Lepisosteus oculatus: one gene and its partners. The protein of the gene in region 1 purifies or fractionates together with the protein of each later gene. This does not show direct contact. Links are inferred from orthologs where the notes say so. Each region holds a gene or a part of one and is shown on either strand. Other genes may lie near its edges.

Evidence for each region.
Region 2: the proteins of nuclear RNA export factor 1 (region 1) and UAP56-interacting factor purify together in Homo sapiens (affinity purification with western blotting; 3 studies listed by BioGRID and IntAct, with this or other methods). This does not show direct contact. The link is inferred for Lepisosteus oculatus from reciprocal best matches to the Homo sapiens genes NXF1 and FYTTD1.
Region 3: the proteins of nuclear RNA export factor 1 (region 1) and rangap1b purify together in Homo sapiens (co-immunoprecipitation; 3 studies listed by BioGRID and IntAct, with this or other methods). This does not show direct contact. The link is inferred for Lepisosteus oculatus from reciprocal best matches to the Homo sapiens genes NXF1 and RANGAP1.

The regions. Positions count from the first base shown.
Region 1 is NC_090713.1:22,974,442-22,978,187, forward strand, and holds the start of nuclear RNA export factor 1, read left to right. Parts: upstream 1-1,042; 5' UTR 1,043-1,175; coding exon 1,176-1,239; intron 1,240-2,326; exon of another isoform or gene 2,327-2,553; coding exon of another isoform or gene 2,554-2,587; intron 2,588-3,746.
Region 2 is NC_090708.1:16,909,139-16,912,884, reverse strand, and holds the start of UAP56-interacting factor, read left to right. Parts: upstream 1-1,356; 5' UTR 1,357-1,478; coding exon 1,479-1,581; intron 1,582-2,510; coding exon 2,511-2,645; intron 2,646-3,001; coding exon 3,002-3,150; intron 3,151-3,746. UniProt on the Homo sapiens protein: Required for mRNA export from the nucleus to the cytoplasm. Acts as an adapter that uses the DDX39B/UAP56-NFX1 pathway to ensure efficient mRNA export and delivering to the nuclear pore.
Region 3 is NC_090707.1:38,120,127-38,123,872, reverse strand, and holds the start of rangap1b (ran GTPase-activating protein 1b), read left to right. Parts: upstream 1-967; 5' UTR 968-989; exon of another isoform or gene 990-1,015; intron 1,016-1,059; exon of another isoform or gene 1,060-1,368; intron 1,369-1,394; coding exon of another isoform or gene 1,395-1,441; exon of another isoform or gene 1,442-1,493; intron 1,494-1,518; exon of another isoform or gene 1,519-1,707; intron 1,708-2,228; exon of another isoform or gene 2,229-2,395; intron 2,396-3,443; 5' UTR 3,444-3,451; coding exon 3,452-3,563; intron 3,564-3,746. UniProt on the Homo sapiens protein: GTPase activator for RAN. Converts cytoplasmic GTP-bound RAN to GDP-bound RAN, which is essential for RAN-mediated nuclear import and export. Mediates dissociation of cargo from nuclear export complexes containing XPO1, RAN and RANBP2 after nuclear export.

The DNA of each region.
Region 1 (3,746 bases):
CCACAGGCTCACCCTGCTGGGCTCCAGTGGGCTGCCAGCTGGGAGTTGCAGAGTGATATGGCTGCTGGCCACTTAATTCAATCAATTCAATCAACTGCCCTGATTTATAATAATAATAATAATAATAATAATAATAATTGCTTACACTTATATAGCGCTTTTCTGGACACTCCACTCAAAGCGCTTTACAGGTAATGGGGATCCCCTCCACCACCACCAATGTGTACCCCCACCTGGATGATGGGACGGCAGCCATAGTGCGCCAGAACGCTCACCACACACCAGCTCTCAGTGGGGAGGAGAGCAGAGTGATGTAGCCAATTCATAGAGGCGGATTATTAGGAGGCCATGATTGGTAAGGGCCGATGGGAAATTTGGCCAGGACACCGGGGTTACACCCCTACTCTTTTCGAGAAGAGCCCTGGGATTTTTAATGACCACAGAGAGTCAGGACCTCGGTTTTACGTCTCATCCGAAGGACGGCGCCTCTTTACAGTATAGTGTCCCCGTCACTATACTGGGGCATCAGGACCCACATGGACCGCAGGGTGAGCGCCCCCCGCTGGCCCCACTAACACCTCTTCCAGCAGCAACCTTAGTTTTTCCCAGGAGGTCTCCCATCCAGGTACTGACCAGGCTCACACCTGCTTAGCTTCAGTGGGTTGCCAGTTGTGAGTTGCAGGGTGATATGGCTGCTGGCAATATCAGCAGCTGTTCCTGCATTAAGGCTCTGTATTTTATATAGCGCCTTTCACGACCAGTCCCCTCCGAACCGCGATGGGAGCGGCAGGCTCACCAGGAAGTGGAGGGAAGCTGACGTCATTGGCCCCGCCCAGAACGCGGAGACCCCACCCCACCCCTCGCCTCTCTTCGAAGCGTCCCGCGAGGAGCGGCGTCGCCTCAAACGGACATGCGCAGTATCCCGCACTCCACCTCCAGGGGGCGCCGCTCCGTCGCCCGTGGCCCCGAACCCCCCCCCCCCTCCTTTTCCCCGCCCCCTGTCACGTGACCCCCCCGCCCGGCTGTCTGAAGTTGGCGCGGGAGAGGCTCGCGCCGGGGGGTAACGGTCGCTCTCTGGAGCCCGGAATCACCTTGTTAATCAGCGACCATTATAATAATAAAAAATAAGTAAGTGAATAACGAATTTTAAGAAGTCATTGGCGACGGTGACGACGATGGCGTTCTTTCCCAAGTGGTACGAGGACTTCGCGGTGGTGAGGCGCAGGGACGCGGAGACAGGTACACGCGTGAGGAATGACTTGTGCTCGGTTAGTTTCGGACCTGTATCGCCCCACTCGTGTTTGTCACACACAGATGTGTCTGTCAGAGAGGCCCCCTCCCGAGCCGGGTTCAGAAACGGGGCTCACTCCGTCGCGCTGGCGTGAAACCCTCGGCACCCCCACTCCGCTAACAAACCCCACGATAATTCCTCCCCCGGGCGCCCGGTGGCGATTTGGTTTTGGCCGGGTTGAAGCGGGGACACGCGTGGGCCGTCTCGCTCGTGTCCGAGCGCCCACGTGAAACTGAGCTCCTTGCTACTCGTACGAAACACGTGCATCTAATTAGATAAGGGGTACAGGTCAGATCACACTGGGGGCTCCAGTCCAGTAGGACAGTCTGTTACACTGGGGGCTCCAGTCCAGTAGAAGTGTCTGTTTCACTGGGAGCTCCAGTCCCAGTCCAGTTACACTGGGAGCTCCAGTCCAGTAGAAGTGTCTGTTTCACTGGGAGCTCCAGTCCAGTAGGACAGTCTGTTTCACTGGGAGCTCCAGTCCAGTAGAAGTGTCTGTTTCACTGGGAGCTCCAGTCCCAGTACAGTTCCACTAGTATTGTTGGGCTCCTTGCTCCTGGTGCTGCTGGCGGTCCAGGAAGTGATGGAGTGCTCAGGCTCGGCTCTTGGTTCCTCAGGCAGCGCGGTGTCTGCCCCGGTCCTCCGGACCCCCCGGCCTTGTGGGCTTCCTCTCGGCCAGATCATGCGCCATCCCGGGCTTCCCCTGTGCCTCTGTCACTCGTGTCTTGTCAAATTCCCCGAAGCTGAATCTGCCCAACGCAAGGTTTACTGGTGGCCAGCCAGTGTCAGCTGGCGAAGCTGGAGAGCTCCGCAGTCATGATAGATGGCATCTGATTGCGGACGGACGCCCTGGGTTCTTGTGTGTTTTGTTATCACTGCGCACAGCCCCCCTCGGGTCTGAAAAGTGTTTTATACCTCAGCTACGCGACGCCAGCTCCCTGGAACCCCGCACCCTACCATATAGGGAGCCGGGCGTCCGTCCACACAGGAAGTGCGTCACCGGAAGCTGGCCGCTTGTAGTTCTGCGGGCTCGGGGCGGCGGAGACGTATTGCGCAAGCGCAGTGTTGATCTCCCAGCTTGTGTCGCCAAAGCACAGCGATCGCACTTGTGCGGGTAGAGGAAAGAAGCGCCGATCAGGACGTTTTTACAGTAGCGCGTCGGCTGGATTATTGCATGAGCACAGCAGGGTAGTCTTCTCGGGCCGTGCGAGTCTTCTCGGGAGCGATCGTGGGAGCTTTCTTTCGTGGAGTGCGTGGGGAGCATGGCGATGGCGGACGAGGGCCGGTACTATAGCGGTAAGTGATGGAGCTTCTCCCTGTCCAGCTCAGCCAAAATGGAGACCCGCGTCCTCCAGCTGGGGAGGCGAGGGCAGACTGCGGGCCGCCGAGATCTCAGGAAGGCGCCCTTCGTGACGCGCGGTGCGGGTTTGTTCTCGTCCTTTCGCGGATCGCGGCTCCGGTCCAGTCCGGTGCCGTGACGCGCTTTCAGCGGGAGGGCCAGTGTCGCAGGGCGCCTGTGCGTGCGTCTGTCTTCGTCCCCGTCCTCGCCTCGCAGTCGTGACGCCGACCCCGAGACCAGGAGACGGGCTGGGGAGAGCAGGTCGTTCCCGGGGCAGAGGGGACCCCCGCTCCGGCTGCTGTTCCCCTGTAGCTGCCCGGTGGTCGCACGGACCCCCGGTGGCGCAGAACAGCGGTCAGGCTGAAGTGTCGCCCCAGCCCCTCCGGTCCTGCGCGCTGCCGAGAGGACCCCAGGCTCCCGGCTCGGGATCGCTGCCGACCCCTCTCACCCTGACCGTCCTGTCTTTCCAGTCTCCCATCAGGAAAGATTAGGTCAGGTGGCACCAGGAGCACAAGGCAGACTCTCATTAATCACCTGCGTTGACCACTGGACATTACTTTAACTGTGTTATCAAAATTGAATGTTGATTATTTAGTTTACAGCCATAGTATTATGTGCAATAATAATGTTATCTGTATGTGGGTATTTATTATGGATAGTTTATTTATCATTTACAAGTATATATGTGTGGGATTATCACGTAGGGAGAGTTCTGACACCTTCTTGAAGTGCAATATATATTTTTTCTTTAATTTCTGAAATGTATGTCGTGTTTTATGTGTCTAGTATATGTGGCGTGTTTGTATGTATACAGTGTATGAACAACTCACCAAGTCAAATTCTTTGTAAGTGAACACTTACTTGGCCAATAAAGAGATCTTTTGATTCACCGATACTGTAGCACATCCATTAGTTATCCTGCTCCCAGAATGTGCAGGCGCTCGGGGCTGATCCAGTGACAGTGTATCACAGTGTCCACGGACAGCGCTGTTTCAGAGGGACAGGAGCTGCAGCAGTGTGAAGTCAACAAGCCGAAGGCCTGTGTGAAGTCAGTGTGCGAGTGTGAAGCACACTCCCTGCTTTAGAACATTTTCATACAGTAAAACCACTCGGATT
Region 2 (3,746 bases), on another chromosome or scaffold:
ATAACGCCTATTGTCCTTAAGGATCTCAAAAGATTTTATATATAGGGGACCTCTTCAGCCAGCATTAACAACTGAAGTGCAGTCCCCTTATAAAAGAGGATTAAATTGAATTAAAAAGGTAGTTTCAGGAGGGCACCCCTTTTCTTACAAATTACATAATGGGTGAGTACAAAAAACTGGCTAAGGATGTGACAACAGGAGTGATAGAGACCCATTAGGCCAACAATTCACACAAATAATTCTATATGAACTCTGAAACAGTAAAGGCCAAAGATCCTACAAGGCATCGGTGTTGGTAACATAGTGGAATTCTAACAAAATGTATTTACTATTTTGTTACCCTCTTTTTAAAAAAAAAAAGATACACGCACCAGAAAAAATGCATTGTTGGCAATGTTTAACGCACCAAAGGCTTAATTTAAAAAAAAAGCTTGATGAAACGTCCTTTTACGCGAGGATCCTTTCGCAGTTGTATGTGCATACACCGCAGGCTATCGTGCAATACGCCTTTTTATCCATTACAAGGGGATGAACACACAATCATAAATTATTTACATATAAACACATGGAACATGTCGCCAGCAGCCATATCACCCTGCAGCTCTCAACGGGCTACCCACTGAAGCTAAGCAGGGTTGAGCCTGGCCAGTACCTGCATGGGAGACCTCCTGGGAAGCTATGGTTGCTGCTGGAAGTGGTGTTAGTGGGGCCAGCGGGGGTCCTAATGCAGTATAGTGGCGGGGACACTGTACTGTAATGGCGCTGTCTTTCAGATCAGACGTTAAACCGAGGTCCTGACTCTCATTGGTCATTAAAGACTCCCCAGGCATTTCTCAGAAAGAGTAGGGAGTTATCCCGGTGTCCAGGGGGCCAAATTTCCCCCCTCGGCCTTTACCGTGGCTCCAAATTGTCCCCATGTATGATCGCCCTGCGATGGACTGGCGCCCTGTCCTGTCCAGGGTGTACCCTGCCTTGCGCAAGTTGCTTGCTGGGTAGGCTCTGGCTTCCCCCAACACCGCATGGTATAAAGAGGTTTGGTGGATGACATGACATATGGAACATTACTGGGAGACAGGCTCACTGTTCCTCAGGCTGTGACAGGAGGTCACGTCCTGGGCTGCCAGTTCAGCTGAGTTCCCTCCTCCCTCTCCCAGTAGGATTGGGAGTTGTTGTGATTCTGGCAGGTGAGGGAATTCTGGGATTAGATTTATAAATTTAGGGAAGAGTGTTTGTCGAATCCCAGAATATCTATCACAGTGGAGCATCTCTGTCTCTCCCCGCTGGCAGTGGGAGCACAGCCTGTCCTCTCAGAAAGCTGTCGTCTCCTGTCATTGGCTGTGACGTGTGCTGCGCGCCTGCGCAGAGCAGGTTTCGTGTCTGAATGGACACGGGGAGAAGAAGGAGGTGGGGGTTAGGCTGCACTGTGCCATCCAGTCCAAAATACAGACGTATACACAAAGGCCTGGCACAGCCCTGACATGAGCGGTATCGGGTTCAAGTCTGGCGGTGTCCCTGCCTTGAGGAATGGCCCGGGGACCAGCGGCGGCTCTGACGGCCTGGATAAGATTGACATGTCGCTAGGTAAGGCCGCACGGAGCCGGGGAGTCCAGGTGGGGAGGCAGCCCGGTTTAGAGCTCTCAGACAGCAGCGCTGCGGTAAACACCGGGGGGATGGGGATAACGGTACTACTTTCGGGACTGTACGGAAAGCTCCAGCCACCGAGAGGCTTGTCGTTAAAGAGCTTGCAGTAACAGCGGTGTGTGTGTGGCTGTCCGGTTTGTGTGAGTTGTGTAGTGTGGCAGTCCAATAGGACAGGTTTCACGGGTCACCCTTAAATCACCAGTTGGCAGGGGCTTCGACCAGTTTCGGTTCAACCACTTTTAAGTGGGTTGTTGAACAGTTCAGAGTTCTAGTCAATAGTTCAGAGATCACGACAGAAAGAAACAACAACGCTCAATACCGAGAAGCTCAGGATGTTGGCTCTATTAACTCAGAAATGGCCAATTATGTATTTATTCAAACCTCATTTGTATAGCGCCTAATACCCTAAGGGTCTGAAAAAACGTCCTATCTGTAGGGGACCCCTTCACCAGCCCTTATAGTTATAGAGGGGTCTACATACAACACGTTTCCCTAAGCGGTGTGCATACAGCGTGCATTTCAGTCTAGTTTTCTGCATAGTAAAGTCTGTGCGAGTTGTCTGGGTACAGCTTTCTGGTCTTCTACAGAGTGCAGTTTATATATGCATAGTCTCCTTCTTCAGTGTACAGTGATGGTCTATACAGAGTACAGCGTTTCTCATAGTCTGAATATAGTGAACAGTATACCTACACATAGTACGTTCACTGTACATGTCAATTTACCTTGTCCATGATGTTAGAAAGTCTGTCTGCAGCGTGGGCAGTCAGTCTGTGCGTGCAATGCATGTCTCTTTCCCATCCTCTCTCAGGCACTCTTTATAACCTCGCACTCCTCCTCTCCTTGTCATCCTCCCCTCCCACCCCCCGCAGATGATATCATCCGACTGAACAGGAAGGAGCAGAGGACCCAGTGGGCTGGCGCTGGGCCCCGGAGGCCCCGTGTCAATGGCCGGCTCACCCAGGGCTGGCGAGGGCCGGCCTGGGCAGGGGGTCAGCAGCAGAGAGGTAGCTACATGCTGATACCCTGTCGTGTCACACATGTTAATAGACTCGCAGGGAACATACTGGTACTGATGCACTGATAAGCAGGGAAGCATTGTAATTGTTGAGATGCCTCCAAAGCACTTTGAGAAGCCACTTTTAATGGTGCTGTATAAAATAAAGTCTATTAGCAGTGTTGCATTAAACAGTATACCCTTGTTGAAGATTGTCGAAGATGCCTTTGGCGTGTGTTGTCTCAACATTTTTCTGTCTCCCTTCCTTATTTCCTGTCTCTGCCACATCTGTCACCCCCATCTCTTTTTCCTCTCTCTCTCGCTCCTTCTCGTCTGTTTCCTCTCTTGTCCTCTTCCTCCCGGGAGGTGTGGGATACCTGGGGGCTCGAGGCCGGAGGGGGGTGGCCCCCGTTCTCCGCCGGAGGGGTCAAGGTGTTGTTACCGGGTTGGCCGCCCGCAGGAATGCTGTGCTGCTCAAGGGGATCAGCCCCTTGAACCGACCGCCGCTCACACAGGTACGGAGTGAGAGGGTGTGTGTGCAGAGAGAAATGGAAAGAGGGCAGAGCGATCATGTCTTAGAGCTGGGAGGCCGTTTAAGTGCACGTGCATGTCAGCGTGTCTGTGGACAAGTGTATGATGTCAATATAAAGCTGTGTCGGGTGCGATAGGGACTTGGACCATTGTCAAGGCTGGACAGGTTTGAGTTGCTCAGGGTGTGCTTCAGCTGAATCCTGCCTGACGACAGTGAGCTTGGAGATGTGTTTGCCTGCATCGGCCCTCTCCAAGGCGACAGCTGTGCTGTAGGTGGCATGAGACACAGCCTGCTGATCTTTACCTTGAATGTTTCAGAAGGTGCATGCAGTCACCATCTCTGTCCTGTGCATAAGAGAGTCCTTCTGCATGGATGAGTTAATAATGATAATTGGCAATTCCTTATTAAGGTTTCTAACAAGAAAAGTGAATCCAAAATTTTAGATGAAATGGAATTCCTCTGTATATTTGCCTTTGGAAGAAAAGGGCAGTGAATTGAGTGTCTGGTCTGTGTGTGAGTAGGATTATTTTTGTTTATGTGTACGTTAGAAGCTACACTGCTCAGCAGAAATATTATCCT
Region 3 (3,746 bases), on another chromosome or scaffold:
ATGTCATTTCACGCAGGGTTGTGGGAAATGTGGGGGAAACAATCCCCTCAGCCATGTTGCTGAAGCCACTACCCTGGCTTCTTCCAAGAAACGGCAGTTTGACATGCTTCACTCGGGACAAAACACCGCTTTACGCAAAGGGAGGTGGAGGTGTGGAACAAGTTACCCAGCCATGCTGTTAAAGCTGATACACCAGCTTCTTTCACTTAAAAGCCCGATGAGATCCGTAAACAAACGCACTAGACCGGCCGAATGTCCCCCATAACTGTGTTTATGTGCTTTCTTCTTTTTCTACGGCCTGTTTGTACAGTTACCGGTGAAGACAAGTTAATTACATTTCCGCTGTCGGGCTGTGAAAGACACGATTTAGCAGGGCGTGAAAGGCGCTATATGTCCCAAATGTTGTGTGGGGTAGCTATCAAGTTAGGAAAAACAACTTTCTGAAATAATTTCATATACCGCGAATTTAAATTCGTCGCCTGTCCGAGTAGAACAGGGCTAAAACTTCGCCGCATTCCGATACAAATCCAGAAAAATCCAAGGCAACGACACAACCTTTTCAAATTTTTGTGTAGTTTCGTACAAACAATCAGAAACAAAGTTACAACGTCAGGCTACACGGGGCGATTTGGTTCAACTAGAAAGAGGTACACATATAAAATGTCTACCGGGCGCAAGGAAAGCCGTTTGCGAAAACTGAACTTTATCCATCTCTCCGGCCTACACAACACCTCTCATCCCCGGGCTCGAGTGCGCACAGTGGCTGACGAGGGGAGCCCTGCCAGCCCCGTCGGACACGCAGGCGGTGCCGATCTGCAAGGAAGACGGGCGCTTCCTGTCGCCAACAAAACCGTACCAAACCGACAGCGAGCGATTTAAATCCACTGTGGGCACACCGTGTAAAGCCCGGCGATAGACCGTTTTGCTCAAACGGAAGCGAGTGTTGAAATTTACGCACACCTCCCCCGTTTTGCGCGTTGTATTAACAGGTAAGTCGATAGCAACTGGTTTGAACACGTTTTTAGGTGTTTTTTTTTTTTTGAGGGAAGAAACGAGTACCTGCGAACTTCACCGCATCACCTCAACACGCCTGGGCCAGCAACGTCACTTTCATGAATGATCCCAAAAGGCAAATTACGACGCCTTTCCCGGCGCTCATTTAATTTAGTCGGTGCCGGTCGTGCCCGCAAAATACCTGCAACTTATCCTTGGGGAGGGAAAACAAAAACAACACAGTTTTCTTTTTCCACTCCGCTGTCATCGGAGTGAACGACTCAAACTCATTCCCCCAGCCCCTGCAAAAAAAAAAATAATCAGGTACGGTTTCCTCTCCTGATAGCAGAAGGCCAGCGTTATCAGAATACTTTTGCGTAAGGATGTTGTTTTTAACTTACTGGCGTCTTCCAAAAAAAAAAGAGAGAGATAGAAACATCACCCGCATCTGTGCCTTAATGCATGCTCTTTAAATCATCATCTCAGCAGCATCTCTCTCTAAAGCAACAGAATACACCAACTCGCCTTTGGCTGCTATCCTTCCTGTTGTGCTGAATTCCAGCGTGGGGGATGTGTTCGTGTATCTCCGGCTACTGGCCTGTGTTTTTGCGCCGCTACGGTTTCATAGCCGAAGTTGTTGCTAGTGGCTCAGGCTCCGGGCCAGGCGCTATGGAGGGGAAACATGTGGGAAATTTCACTTTCAATTCTTTCCAGTTCCCAGCAAGTTTGGCCCCGCTGCTTCAGCCCGCGGGTCCTAAAGAGAGACGGGTTTCCCGGGGAGAGAAAAGTCTGCCTCCGGGTTTCTGACCCCTCTGATCCCGTTTAAATACTGCATTCCTCGCCTGAAAACGTCCAGGGAAGGGGAAATAATATAACTGATGTTCTTTTTTTTGTTGTTAAAAATTGCGGATAGTCATTTTTTTTAATTGTGGATAGTATGGTATACTTCATTCTGTCACATGTGTTAATGTCCCTTTAATGCATAAAGGGCTTTACTCATAATCAGAGCGCTAACTGAAGGATGTGCTTCTTAAAACTGACTCACTGGGACTGCAAATTAAAAAAAAAAATAACACTTGATGTTATGTTCACTTTTAACGCGCATCTGCCCAGCAAGCTCCCCCGACACCCCGGTAATGACTCTGCCGCACAGATCCCTGGGAGTTGGGGTCTTCCTCTGTGCCCGGCGGCTGTGGCGGCGAAGGCGGAGGGGATTAGAACTACACCTCCCGTCGGGCCCAGCGGCAGGCCGGTTTCAAAATAGCGCTACGCCATTTCAGCTTCCCTCAGCGAGCGGGACGCGGCGTGACCGGGCCGCAAGAGGAAGCGATTCTTTTTCGTTTTCCCCTCGAACTCAAACCCCGACGACGAGGGACGCCTGCGATCTCGACTCTCTCTCTCGGTAATCGCCGGACCCGCATCCCCGGGTTTCTTGACGCGGGCGGGTCCGTTTGGAGCCGGGATCGAGCCGCGGCTCGTGCGGGAGAGCGGGCGGGCGGGAGGCGAGCCGGCGCGCGTGCATTGTCCGAGGCTCGAGAACGTCAAAACTTTTTCTGCCGACATTTTCACCGGCGTCGGTTTTGTTTTTGTTTATTTATATATATATTAAACTAATTAGGATCTGAATGAGGCCGGGGGGGGGGGTGGGTGAGACCGGCAGCAGGGGAGGCGGGAGGGGAGCGCTGTCACCGGCTGAGGGACATTTAAACACCGGCGGCCGGGTCGTCATCGTGATGGTTTCCTGTGCTGGTCGTGAGCAGAGTATTGAAACTGCACGCATCTATCGGGGTACTGGGGGGGGGGGGGGTCCCCTTCGCTTTAGCGTGCGAGGTGCAGTGCGGGGCCCCGGGGGGGCGGGAGAGGCTGGGGTATCGGAGGAGGAGGTGGCCACCTGTTCGCTCTGGAGCCCTTCATCGCAGCTGTGGGGTACCGGGGGGCTGAGGCCTGAGGGGCAGGCTCGCTCTTGGTGGGGTAGTTTCAGGGTGTATTGACGGGGTCACTATGCGCCGCTGTGTCTTGGGGTACAGTGTGAAAGAGGGGGTCAGTGTGGAAGGCTGTGCTGGTGGTTGGGGTGCAGTGTGAAAGTGGGGGTCAGTGTGGAAGGCTGTGCTGGTGGTTGGGGTACAGTGTGAAAGTGGGGGTCAGTGTGGAAGGCTGTGCTGGTTGTTGGGGTACAGTGTGAAAGTGGGGGTCAGTGTGGAAGGCTGTGCTGGTGGTTGGGGCACAGTGTGAAAGAGGGGGTCAGTGTGGAAGGCTGTGCTGGTTGTTGGGGTACAGTGTGGAAGAGGGGTGCAGTGTGGAAGGCTGTGCTGGTTGTTGGGGCGCAGTGTGAAAGTGGGGGTCAGTGTGGAAGGCTGTGCTGGTGGTTGGGGTACAGTGTGGAAGAGGGGGTCAGTGTGGAAGGCTGTGCTGGTTGTTGGGGCGCAGTGATAAAGGCTGTGCTGCTGCAGGTACCCCGATGGCTTCGGAGGACATTGCCCAGCTGGCCGACTCTCTGGCCAAGACCCAGGTGGTGGAGGGGGAGCTGAGCTACAAGGGCAAAGGACTGAAACTGGACAGCGCCCAGGCTGGTAAGGACACCCCCTCTCTCCCTCTCTCCCTCTCCCACTCTTTTCTCCTCTCTCCTCTCTCTGTAGTGGGAGACTGAGCAGGTCACTCGCACCCTGTGTCTCCTCTCTCTGTAGTGGGGGACTGAGCAGGTCACTCGCACCCTGTGTCTCCTCTCTCTGTAGTGGGAGACTGAGCAGGTCACT